3 linked regions of the Oryzias latipes genome follow. The protein of the gene in region 3 interacts with the protein of the main gene of each other region in a pairwise test. Links are inferred from orthologs where the notes say so. Each region holds a gene or a part of one and is shown on either strand. Other genes may lie near its edges.

Region 1 (3,388 bases), on a different chromosome or scaffold from region 3:
TTAAAATCCGATTAAGCTGTTGGTGTACTTTGTTATAAAACTCACTTTTTTTTTTAGGCAAACGTTATTGGAGACCTAGGTAGTGCATCGTTATTTTATTGTGATCCATAAAGCCTGTTACATACAAGGCTATCTTTAGGGTCCTTGTTTTTAATCATTTGTAGAGATGGTGGAGCTAGGTTAAAAAAAAAAAAAAGCATTTGAACTCCAAACTCAAAGCATCTGCTTGTTACAAGTTTGACAGAAAGAAAGATTTGGAGTTTTAACCAGATGCCACTAAACCCTGTTGTCTTGGCCAGAATACAAAAATGTCCTGAAGGCAAACATGGGAATCTGTAGAATATGGCTATGGGTGATATGCCAAGAGGAAGCATTGGGCAGGGGAGAGAAAAAACTCTTCCCTTCCTCTCCTGCACTAGAAACTAGTCTTCCAGGATGAGTTTGATCCGACGGTTGTGTGGTGTTGGATGGACAGCGATCATTTCCAGACATGTGCTGTCATGTGTGCTGAGCTTGGCGTCGATGAGCTGCCCATGTGCTGAGTGCCGTATCCCACCCCCTCATTGCTGCTGTAGAGATTCATTCCAGCCATGTGCGGCGTCATCTGAAAAGTCACAAATAAACCTTGTTATGACTAAAACATTATCAGAGCAATCGCATTTCTGCTAATTATAGGGGAGCCGGTTGTTAAAATGTTGTGGTACTAGCACCAAATTTGGCATGGACGTACATTAGGATCCCCTCTTTTAGAAAGTTTATTGTTAGCCACGAGAAAATCCAACATTTTAAAATATATATAATATACATACGCATCAAGTTTAAAGACTGCATTTTAGACATAAACAGCCCACTTTACTGAGAATGGGCAAACAGACATTGAATATTTTGTAGCAATTAAGTGTATGGCTGCCATCCTAACAAATGGCCGCCATTTTGAATTTTTCTCATTGCAAATGTACTTTTTCTGAAGGCACATCCATAACAAATTTGTTGCTTGTACAACAAAATGCATGATTTGTCTGTAATATCAACCTGACACAGGCCAACGTCTCTGATTAGTGCAAAATTTGAGAGGTTCTGTTTGATAAAGAGGAATGACTTGTCTATTTGAGGGAACTTTTCCTAGATTAGATACTTATTTTAACCCTTGTGCTATATTAGATGACCCCACCCTTACTTTGACGTGTTCTCCCTACCATGACAAAGGTGGATAAAGGTGGAAAGATTACATGTAATCCATGGACACCAGTGAAAATCACAAATCATTGAAGAAAAAAGGTTCAGAGCATTGTCTAGTGGGTCTATATGACCCAACTCCCCACGTCAAAGTGCCTAGGATAGCACAAGGGTTATAATCGAGCTCTGTTTTGGAAAGTTTAAATGCTTCAGGTTTTTGAACTCACTGGTGATGTGTAGAAAAACAAAACAAAGTTCTTTGACAAAAACGGTAAATGGTGTGTACTTATACAGCACTTTACTATCTTCTTAGAAGGCCCAAAGCGCTTTACAGTCACAGTCTCTTTAACGCCCTGATGCCGGCTCCGCTGCCTAAAACAGGCGCCTGCCTAGAAACACCAGGAGCTGTGGGGTTCAGTGTCTTGCCCAAGGGCACTTCAACAAAAGGGCAGGCGACGTGGGAACCTTGTTTTCATATTATGTTATATATTTTTCTCTAGTCACATATTAGTTTTCATTGTCCTGAGTTGTTTCTGTTATTACCCATAGGTGTTTTTCATGGTTTTGTAGTTGTTCATTGCTACCAAACCCTGTTGCTCCCCTGTTTCACCACCCATTTGTTGTTGCTTGTGTCAGGTTTTTCAAATGTATTTTGTATTACATTTAAGTTGTTCTGTTGTTATTCATTCATCTTCTCAACCTGCCCAGTCCTGGTCAGGGTCACAGGGTTGTTGGGCTTCATTCAGACACTGTTGAGTGAAGGTGGGGTACACACTGAACGGTTTGCAGGACCATTGCAGGCCCAAACACGCACATTCACACTTGGGTCCCACTCTGATTGTCTTCTGTTCCCAGTAGTCTTTTCTTTATCGTTATGCCGTTTTTAGCCTGAATCATAACCAGGTGTTTTCCAGGACGTAGTTTCTGCAGAGCGGCAGAAGTTCACTAGAAATTTGCCTCTGAGTGATGGGTGTAAGCAACAGCTTACAGCCCCTCACACCTCCAACCTAACAATACCGGTGCAACAAAAAATGGCAAAACTTTTCCGAGCTACCCAGCCGTACAGTTCCCAGATTCCAACTCAGACAAGGAAAACAAAGACGTACATGGATCTAGTCGTCTGAGAGTGGATGCATCAGAATGGAGCGGAGCAGGAAGCTTGCCCAGTTTGCGCAGCATATTTTCTTTCTTAATGCTTTTAGTACACACCTGGGCAACATTCCACTGAACCTGTTGCATCTGTTGCATGCCATAAACGTGTTGGTGCGGTAATGTTGCTAAGCCTCCAGCCTGTTGCTGAGCCACCATTGCGCTTTGCTGCTGTCCCATCATGCCCTGGCTCATTCCTGCCACGTAAGGTGATGCAACCACACCACTGGACTGTGGCAGGACACAATGAGCACCCACTAGTCCGTTCTGCTGTCCCATCACACAGTTCTGCTGGACTCCAACCAGGTTGTTTTGTTGAACCCCTATAATGCTGCTTGGCTGCTGTCCCATCACGGCCATTTGTGATGTCATCATGGTGCCTCCTAGTCCTCCCACCTGGGCCAAAGAATGGTATGGACCATACGGATGTGTCGGGTATCCCATCTGGTTCATGTACAATCCACCTAAAAATGATCACAGACAGTGTCGGCAGTTAATAACCAACAAATCACACCTGGTATTCACCATGAACATATCTTTCGAGAGTCTGCGAGAGTTCTCACCAGGTGCAGCCACGCTGCTGGCATGCACTGAGGGAGTGGAGGCATACAGGGACAGAATAGAATCCTTGGACAGTTTCTTGACAGTTCCTTCATTCGATTTGGGTTTGGGGTCCAAAAATAAACTGAGGTTTTCAGGCACTGAGGCAGTCACTCTACTCTGAGGCATGGAGCCAGAAACTGGCTGCAGGACAGGATGAACAGATAGGACACAAATAAAGAGAGAGATTGTCAGAATCAAAACATCATAAAAGTTCCGCTTATAGTATTTAGGAAACTTTTAGAACTGAATTCATGTTTTGCTATAATATTTTGACATCCAAAGTTCTATTTGAGTTCAGATCCTGTTTGTAGACACAGAGACTTATCCTTAAGCAAAAGGATAAAGCCAGACTTTTTAGCCAATTTAGAGTGTTCTATTAAATACTAATCATGCCTTGATTTTTTTTTCTATGCCTTTCTGACCTTATGAAAGCTGCCATTTCAAGAGAAGCATTTTTAAA
Region 2 (4,000 bases), on a different chromosome or scaffold from region 3:
AACTGACATTTATCTTCAGAAAAGAGGACGGGTCAAAGTAAATGCTGCGACAGCTTGAGTTCCCACTGCCTCCTGCTATTTGCTTATGAGAAGATGCCCGTTAAATGTCATCCCCGCTGCTTCGTGTGTCACCAGCCCTAGAGTGAGGCAAATCCGCTTACCCTTTCTCACAACACATAGTGCAGAACATTACAACAAGCATATGATGCACAGCTGGTGGCAAAACAATGAAAAATACTTCAAATGATTTGTACAGCACAAAGACACTTATTGAAGACCCAGTCTGATAAAAACATATGATTTTGGTGTTAATGAATATGTTCTTGTAGCATTTTTATGATGATGGCAGACATATATTAAGAAAATTAAACTTAAAATCGCATTTCTGACTATTTATACATTTCTCTGGCTTAAAACTGTACAGCTGGATAGCTACAATATTGCTCGCCACTTTTGTTGCACCGGCAATGTTAGGTTGGGGCTGAGAGGCTGTAAGTTAGCCGGAGAGAGTAAGCAGATGGGTGATGGGAAGTGGGGGCAGGGTTATTTCGCGCCAACAATCTTCAAGCAAACCTCAGAGGTGAATTTCTAATGAACTCTTGCGGCTCTGCAGAAACTGTCATTTTGGCAAACAAGGACATTATCATAACTAAAAGACAACTGGAGAAGCTTTTAAAACAGATCAAAGGATGATTGGAGCGGGCCTTTAACTCTTTTTTCTACAGGGCAGCAACACAGATGACGCATATGTGGGCCGGTTGCTTCAAAACAATCTTAAGAGTAAAGTCCACAAACACTCGTGACGAATATCCAGTTACCTAACCAATTAGGAAAGAAATAAAAAGGTACAAACAAAAGCTAGAGGACGATTTATTGTGACACTAAAATACATCCCAGGATTTTTACGAACATATTTTGAATATAATTTAAAGTAAAGTTTGCGTTTGCCTAATAGCTTCTAAAGCTTTCATTAAATTCAGTCCAGACCTTTAGGCAGTGACAGAAGGAGCAATTAATGCATCAATATTTCTGAGGTCCACACTCATTTATTAGGAGTTGAAAACCATCTAAAGCAGGGGTGGGCAAACTGCGGCCCGCCTTCATGTTTGGTCCGGCCCACTGAACAATATCAGAGAACCATGTTTATTTATTTTTATCTGGCAACACGATCAAGACGCGCATAGAACGTGACATTTTATTCCCCCCCTTTTGCAGTCTGTGCTCCAACCTGAAACCCTCTAAAATCTGTCAAACAGAACAGAGACAGTCTTCCCTTTCTACGTCGTAGTTCATCTTTCCCGGTTTTAATCGTTCTTTTAGAGCGATTATGCTGCTGTTTTTTAAAACAGCGCATCCTGTTCTGTGTCCTGATTGGCTGGAGACCCTGTCAATCAATCTCCTCCGTGTGTCTCCTGTACAGAAACGTGGAGCTCTTCAGATCAGAAATCTGGGATCGATCAGATCTTTGTTTTCATTCTAAGATCCTGGACTTAATTTCTATGAAGGTTTGAGAATTGAAACAAGAGAAAAGGGTGAAAATGTTCTGTCTGAGAAAAGTGTATACTCTGTGGATTTCACTGATCACGGGTTATTTTTAGAACGTAACTCCTGCAACAAACAACGGAACTCTGTACTGGTGAAAAGGTAACACAGATATATGCGTAGCTGCAGCAGAAGACATAGAAATGTGCTTTTTTCATTATTACTGGACGCCAAACAGACGTGCAGGACACAGCTGTTCAGTTTCAGCGCAAACTGTGAGACGTGTGAGGAGCTGCAGCCATCAACATCTCAGCGGGAAAATGACGGCAGAGGATCCACTGGATCCATCCAGAGGATCCATTGGTTTTTCTTTTTAATGCATCAGTATATTTTTTCCTGACTTTTTGTCTTTGAAAATCACAGTTATTTGGTCTTTTTTTATTTCATAAATAGTGTTATTTATTTTATTAAAAGGATCATGATTTAAGAAAACTTTAGTTTAGGGCTTTACAATAAAAGAAAGATAAAAGAAGTTAAGAGTTTTAAAGAAACAGAGTTATTGTTTGGGGCCCCGCTTTGGCATCCATGTGGTGTTGGAAGATTTGTTGTTTTTTATTCTTCCTATTATTCAAACACCACATGAACGCAGCATTTCTCTTAAGTTTTACACGAGGTACATCAAGCCGTTGGTGCAATTGGCTCTAAAATGAGAACGCAGTTTTTAAAATATAATTTCCAATCCAAATGTTTTCATCCAGATTCCATGTTATTTCTTTGTCACTCCACGCATCTGCTCCTGGTCCGGCCCTTCTATCCAATTTGAGAACCCCGTGTGGCCCGCCAGTCAAAAAAATTGCCCACCCCTGATCTAAAGAAACAACTGCGAATATATTTTAGCTCCTTGTACTAAAAATATATGACGCTACCATTGCACGAAGCCAAGTCTGAATTTAGAGGAAAAGACTGGCTTGAGAGGGGCTACTTGGAGGATTTCTCCCTTCAGCTAAAACACAAAATGACAGTAGAACATTAAAACAAAAATCTGCATCACAGCTGAGTCTCAGTGTGGTGTACTGTAAATATACCAGAAACTTTATAAAAGCCACCCTCATGTTTAAGTGGGACTATAGCCTGACCTCTTTCACATAAAGGAGGATGTAAAACCTTTGGAGCAAAAGCTCATTGTTTGAATGAGTCCAACACACCTGTGATGACGCGGTGGGGAAGGTGATACCCTCTTCTTTGAGGGACTTTATAGTAGCACTAATCAGGCTGAGCTGCGGATCCTTCTGAAAGTCCTCTGCCCACTCTACCATCAGGGCCTTCAACCTTTCGCAGACTTTAGGATGGGCCTGCAGTGGACAGAAAACACAAATATATCACACCCAGAAGGAAATCATCATTTTTCTTTCAAAGCAGAGTTCCAAAACAGTTCAAAGTTTTAAAGACGTTTAAAAAAATTAAACACATCTACTTTTTATTTAATCTTTTAAGACGTTTAAGGGCCAACATGACTGTTGATTCTATTATAAAGGAATAAATAAAAGATAAATAGCACATAAATTTTAATAAAAATAGGAGAAAAAAGGACTCACTCTGCTTAAAACAGATCTCACTTCACTGGCAAAATCTCTTGAGCAAATTTCCAAATGAAATATTTTGCCACAGTTTGAAACACAAGCGCCGAGCAACTGTGAGGGAAAAGACAACATTTCAGTGTTTTCTACTACACAGGACATCTGCATTACAGTCTCATTTAAAAACAGGTTTTCCCGTACAAAGAAAGTATTTTTTCAGTTCAAATTAGATTTAAATGCTACTTGTCCTGCTGTTGTTTAAGTGTGTGAAAACAGATCTAAACCTAGAACCATTTTCCTCCTTACGACTAATATCCTTCAAGCTTACTGAATGTCTTTTGAATAGTCAACACTTGATTAGTTTGAATTAAAATCAGCAAAACTTGACCAAAAAAATGCATTATTGAAACTGTGGTTGAAGTTAGCCTATTTTTACAATTGGTGTTGTATTTTGGAAATATTGTATCACCTAAATATTAGTTTATAATTCCACAAATATGAAACTGTCACCCTGACTATCCCAAGTAAATCACACACACAAATATAACACATAAAATAATCCCACTTTTGAATTGTGTCGGTAATTTTCTTTTATTATTTAAAATTCATAACCAACTCACATTGAGGGCTTGCATGGCGACATGAGGCACTTTGTGGTTGACTCTCTTCATTATGGATTTTAAGCTGTCTTTTGCTCTATACCAGGGAAAAACAGGATTATATATATATATATATATATATATATATATACACACACAATTAATGCTATACACTTAAATATATGTGTACAGTTAGTTATTGAATAATTAGAAATTTTTAAACGCATACTTATTACAAAATAAACACAAATTCTTGCAGTTTACCCATTGGATGTCGTTCCAATCTTATCACAGATGTCCAGAATAAGCGCCCAGTCATCTGTTGTGTTGTTTTCATTGGTT
Region 3 (5,254 bases):
TTTCATTGTTACTGGCTTATTAGCAAATTAAAAATCTTTTTTTTTTTTCATTTGTAGTTTTTGCTTGCTTTGTAATACAAAATCTAAATATCAAACCAAATCAAAACCATGGCTCAAAAATAAAGGTTTGGATCGAATCGTAATGTATATCTCTGCATCCTTGATTGTTAATATGATTTTAACAGAAAATCCTCATAAATTATCTTTTTTTTAATGTAGAAATCATTATTTTTATAAATATTTTTTATCTGAATCTCTCGTTCCTTGTCAATGTGTATTGTTTAAATTATTTTAAAACTTTAAATCTTCGAGCAAAGCAAGAAAAAAGGGAAATTTCAGAGAGACATCTGTATAGAAGACAAACTACAATATAACAAATACCTACAAAAATGAGACAAAGCAACTATTTTGTTTTTCTAAGATGCCAGACAACACTGAGCCCTGAATCTAAAGGGCCTATACCAGGCAAAAATCAAAATTTTGAGCTTCAAAGTGTATTATAATGTTCATTCCTTGCAAAAAAGAACCCCCAAAGTGGTAATTTGACCCATTTATGAATTTCTGAGCATTCCTGTAAAAACCTGCTCTCTGAGCACCAGCCCCTCCCAGTCCACAAAAACGATTGGGTTCTCACATTGTGATGTCACAAAGTGAGGAACAGCCCCTTCTAGGAACAGTCTGCACTGCCAGCTCCGCCCCCAGGCAAACACACACACGCAGCCTCACTTTCTCCGCCAAGCTAGTTGTAATTGGCTAAAGGCTTTTCCTTTTATATGCACAACAATGTGCTCCTGGGCCGTTGTGACATCACAAAAGCTAATTTATTCTAACAGAGAGTCTTTGCAGCAGTTTGATTGACAGCGATTTAAAAGGACAAATACAAAAGTGAAATGATTTTTTTATTACATTAGTTCTCCTTCATAAGAAAACTGCCACAAACTTGTCAAAAACTCAAAACACATGATATTCAGAGGAGGACTAGAAGTCAAGCCGGAGGAAAGTCTTGCACCAACATGAGCTGTGAACTGTTGCAGGAAGAGACCAGTTGACATGGGTGCGAACAGAAGGAAAGATTGGGAAAATGCTGGCGACTCGATAACGTCTTGAAAAGACAAATTTTTGTTTGTAGATTTGCTTACTTAAACACATATTCCCTCAAAACGTTATTTTCTTTTAGAAGGAACCCAGGACAGTCTGAGTTCGTTAGCAGGTGTTAACAGGCAAAGAATGATCTTTGGGATCACTACCTCCATGAAACTTGGAGTTTTATGATGAAATCCAGAGGCTCCACCCATCTACTTTTTTTTTTTTTTTACAGGGGGGGGGGGGGGGGGAGACAAACTATTACTAGACCACTTTAACTGGCTACTAAGAAGAGCGAGGCCATTTGCTTTATTTTCCTCATCTCCTGGATGACAGAACTCCTCCTCCTCCTCTGCTCAGGAACAAGCTCAGCCACCCTTCAGCAGAAGCTAAATCTGGCTGCTTGCTTTCATGGTCTCAGTCTTCAGGTCAATATCCAGAGCTCAAGACCATAGATGGGAGTTGGAACAGAGATCAATGGGCAAACAGAGTTTTGATAGTTGACTCAACTCTGTCTGGTGGGACTCAAATCTACCCGTCAAACCATTTGGACCTAAAAAAAATACTGAACGATCTATACAAGCAAGTCCATTCTATAAATGACAAGACTCTTGCATTTGAAAAATTCCCCTTAGACACTCGTCATGCTAATGCATTAACCTGGGATGCCAAAGGTCACTGAAATGCTGATTTACTCGTTTGGGTAAATGCCTGGAATAACTGACCTCCAGATGCGACAAATAGAAACAATTTTAGTTTGTCGATATAAAAAATACAAATCACTAATAAAAACTGGTGCAAAGATTTCCCATTCAAGTCAGAAATACAGAGCTTAAAATACAAAAAATGATTCATTTGCATAGCCAATTGATTCTCTTTAGGATAAAAAAATCTAAATTGTTAGATAAAAAACAAATTTTTGTCTAAATAGAAATTCTATTGAGACAATATTGAAAAATGGTCAGCTAATACAAAAGGGCTTTAAGCCATTATGTGATAATTATGACAGGTCTATTAGCCAGAAAAAAGAAATCTTGATAGTTTCAGAAAGCTCCAGGGAAATTAAAGGTTCACATTGTATAGTAGATTAGTTTTCATACCATTTTATACCATTTGTTTAACTTCTATTTTAATTGTTCTGTATTTCTTATGTTATTTTTATAAATGGATTTAACGCAAGCCGTAATTAATAATACAATTTTTACAGAAATTACGTATCCAAAAATCTGCCCAAATCAAAAGAAATAAAGAGAAAAAGTTGAGTTATAAAATTGATAAAATGGTTAATTGATAGAAAACAAAACCCATTTAAAATAATATTTCATCTTCGAATTAAAATTGGCAAAGGTTGTGTATTTTTAACTGAAAACATTAACTGGCTCTTTTCACCACATAAATTATAATTTAAGGTTATATTAAACTTGAGAATTTGAACCGTAGATGTTTTTCCAGTAAGCTAGCATTAAGACAAGCACTATAGCCAAATTAGCAACTAGCACCATTTCCAGTAAGGTGGACTCAAACATAGGTGATTGGTCGAATAATGTAATTTTTTTAAATATTAAAACAATAAGCGTTTATTCACGACCAACAGGAATAGCCACCAAACTAACTAACGTTACCGTAAATTATCATGCGCTGATGTTTACATGGACAAAAGCAGGAAACAAACAGTGATCCTTAACAGTGAAATCATGTGAGCTTCCCCTTTAAAATCATGTTAGCTGGCTGGACAGTATGTGACCTGCTTAGTAAACGGCAGAAGAATACAATGTGACACTAAATTTACATTGCTAACAGTTTCTGACGGTTTGGGAAAAAGTCTAGGTTCGGCGAAGGTGTTTCCCAGAAGACGCCAGCGTATTGTTATCTACGTAGCTAACGTGAAGTTCGCATCAGATGCCATAACGATTAGCTCCCCGTCTCTGAATATAAACGCCAGCGTCGTTAAAACGAACAACTGGCTAATTATTTGGTGGCGGTCTGAAGGCATACCTTTGTTATTCATAGTTGTGGATTGATCCGGAGGTTGAAAAATATCTGGTTTCACTGAACTCAACGAATCTTGTCACGGCCTTCTTATAGGTTACGGCTTTACACAATCATCCACTTCCTTGTTTCTCTGCTTCTTGTTGTTGTGGAAGTGGTTACGTCATTCTTTCTTTATCTGCGCTCGAACTGCTCACAGTTTGATCTGCACTCGCGCGCCGCCACCTGGTGAACTATGGAACTGTTTTAAAAAAACAAAATGAATCACTCCATCTTCTATTTGTAGGTTAAATATAAAAGAAATACTTGGTGTTTGATGACTGTAAAATTTACAGTTGATGTAAAACTTTTTTTGTCAACTGGCGCCAACAGTAAACTAATTCATACAATTGTAATGGATATTGATCATTTAGATTCTTGAAATATTAAAAGACAGCACAGCTATCAAAATGTAGACATTAAGAATTTTAATTTTTCATTTTAGTGTATAGTTAACTGTTTTTTCATAAGAAAACATGTTTTTAAATTAACCAAAAACTTTAACCAAAACTTTAAATAATTTAAAAAACACACTAACCAAGAAGGCTGCATGAGGAAACGAGTAAACTTGCAATGTGCAATATAAGTGATCAATATTGCAATTACGAAATGACTTACGCTACATAAAAAAAAATAACTAATACATCATTTCCAATTCACTGCAAAAGTTTTACTTGAATAAAAGTCAATGCAACCTAAACGATATTCCAAATGACCCTCGTCTACACAGGAGGCAGGGATCAAACATAAAAGAGGTCCATCTGATTGGTTAAAGGACTTTATTTCATTTGTCAAACACTTCAAGCTGCCATAATATTGCTTTCACATGTGTGTAAACATTAAAGGTAACTATTTATTGCAATTTACGCTGTCTGTAGCAATACGCATATTGCACAGGCTATTGCGATAATGATAAATATGAAATTTATTTGGCAGGCCTACTAATGAACACATTAAAAAGACAAAAGAAGAAAAAACACATACAGTCCTCTTCCTACACTATTTTATTCTAATTTTTAAAAATCCAAATAAGCCCTAATACCACTTTAAAGTCCTTCTCCGATAATCTTTTGATATATTGTAAAAGCATTCCCAGTGGACCTTTAATTAGGTTTACGTTGTTTTTACACTCTCAAATATTTACTTGCAATTTAACACAATACTATACTACACTATACTATATTCCAAATGAGTATTTTTTATTTTGTAGGAGTTATAAAATGTATATATTTTTAAAATTCCAATTGTCCCTAAAACACTAATGATCATTTTTGTCATTCACATAGACAACAAAAAGCACACAAAAAAAAACTAAATAGAGTTTTGACAAACACATGACAGCTACTGATTATTAATCCTGTTTCAAACTATTAATATATAAGCATAACTTCAGGAGGCTCTTTGCGGTGGAAAATTGCACATAATCCTCGAATGAAGAGTTCTGGGAAGCATCTTTGGGAATATTTGGTTGGTGACACACTCCGCGCGCGGCCTTCGGGAGGAGGCGCGGCCCCTTTAAGGGAACCATGGCACCGCTCGAGTCGAGGCAGACATCTTTCAATGCAAGAATTTTCCTTGCATAAATTATGTTCATGACGTAGTGCAAAAGGGCACTTTTAGGGCAAAATTGTCCAATTTTACAGCTCAAAAAGGGACTCAGTGAGCCACCTAGGGGGATTTTCGGTCATTTTGAGTGTCGCGGGGAGGGCGTCGTCTTTGCATTTAGTGGGGAGAAGCCCGTCGTTGCAGCCCTGCTTATCAATGCAAATGCCTCTCTTTTGTGTGCAGTTACAGCGCCTGTCTGGGAGCTGAGGTGAATTTATAATGATGCGTGACTGAAACAAGCGGCGACAAGGAGCCCCTTTGAACGCGGCGGAGTGCGGAAGAACAGGCGGCTTTTGCGGTAAGTTGGAGAAAATAGAGCGGGGCTGTGTTCAGGCTCGGTCCTCCGCGTCGCAGCGAAATGGCGAGAGGAAATGAGTTTGGGTTAATATGCAATGCTCGTAATTAGCATAATTTATATATTTATGATAAAGAGAGGGAAATATCTAATTTTCAGTCTCGGCACGGGTTCAGAGGGCTTCCTGCTGTCCGTGCTCGGTGCTTTGCCTCTGAAGTGGCCGACGCAGAGGGACTTTTATTG

What was found. The genes of interacting proteins can lie anywhere in the genome.
Region 1: the proteins of dazap2 (region 3) and stromal membrane-associated protein 2 interact in binary tests that used the Homo sapiens proteins (3 or more experiments, as listed by UniProt). The two-hybrid records come from large-scale screens. The link is inferred for Oryzias latipes from reciprocal best matches to the Homo sapiens genes DAZAP2 and SMAP2.
Region 2: the proteins of dazap2 (region 3) and stam2 interact in binary tests that used the Homo sapiens proteins (3 or more experiments, as listed by UniProt). The two-hybrid records come from large-scale screens. The link is inferred for Oryzias latipes from reciprocal best matches to the Homo sapiens genes DAZAP2 and STAM2.

What each region holds. Positions count from the first base shown.
Region 1 is NC_019869.2:11,630,668-11,634,055, forward strand, and holds part of stromal membrane-associated protein 2, read right to left. Parts: intron 3,070-3,388; coding exon 2,889-3,069; intron 2,790-2,888; coding exon 2,386-2,789; intron 605-2,385; coding exon 479-604; 3' UTR 1-478.
Region 2 is NC_019879.2:4,395,543-4,399,542, forward strand, and holds part of stam2 (signal transducing adapter molecule 2), read right to left. Parts: coding exon 3,923-4,000; intron 3,756-3,922; coding exon 3,680-3,755; intron 3,174-3,679; coding exon 3,078-3,173; intron 2,835-3,077; coding exon 2,688-2,834; intron 1-2,687.
Region 3 is NC_019865.2:22,361,150-22,366,403, forward strand, and holds the start of dazap2 (DAZ-associated protein 2), read right to left. Parts: upstream 3,253-5,254; 5' UTR 3,092-3,252; coding exon 3,079-3,091; intron 1-3,078. UniProt on the Homo sapiens protein: In unstressed cells, promotes SIAH1-mediated polyubiquitination and degradation of the serine/threonine-protein kinase HIPK2, probably by acting as a loading factor that potentiates complex formation between HIPK2 and ubiquitin ligase SIAH1.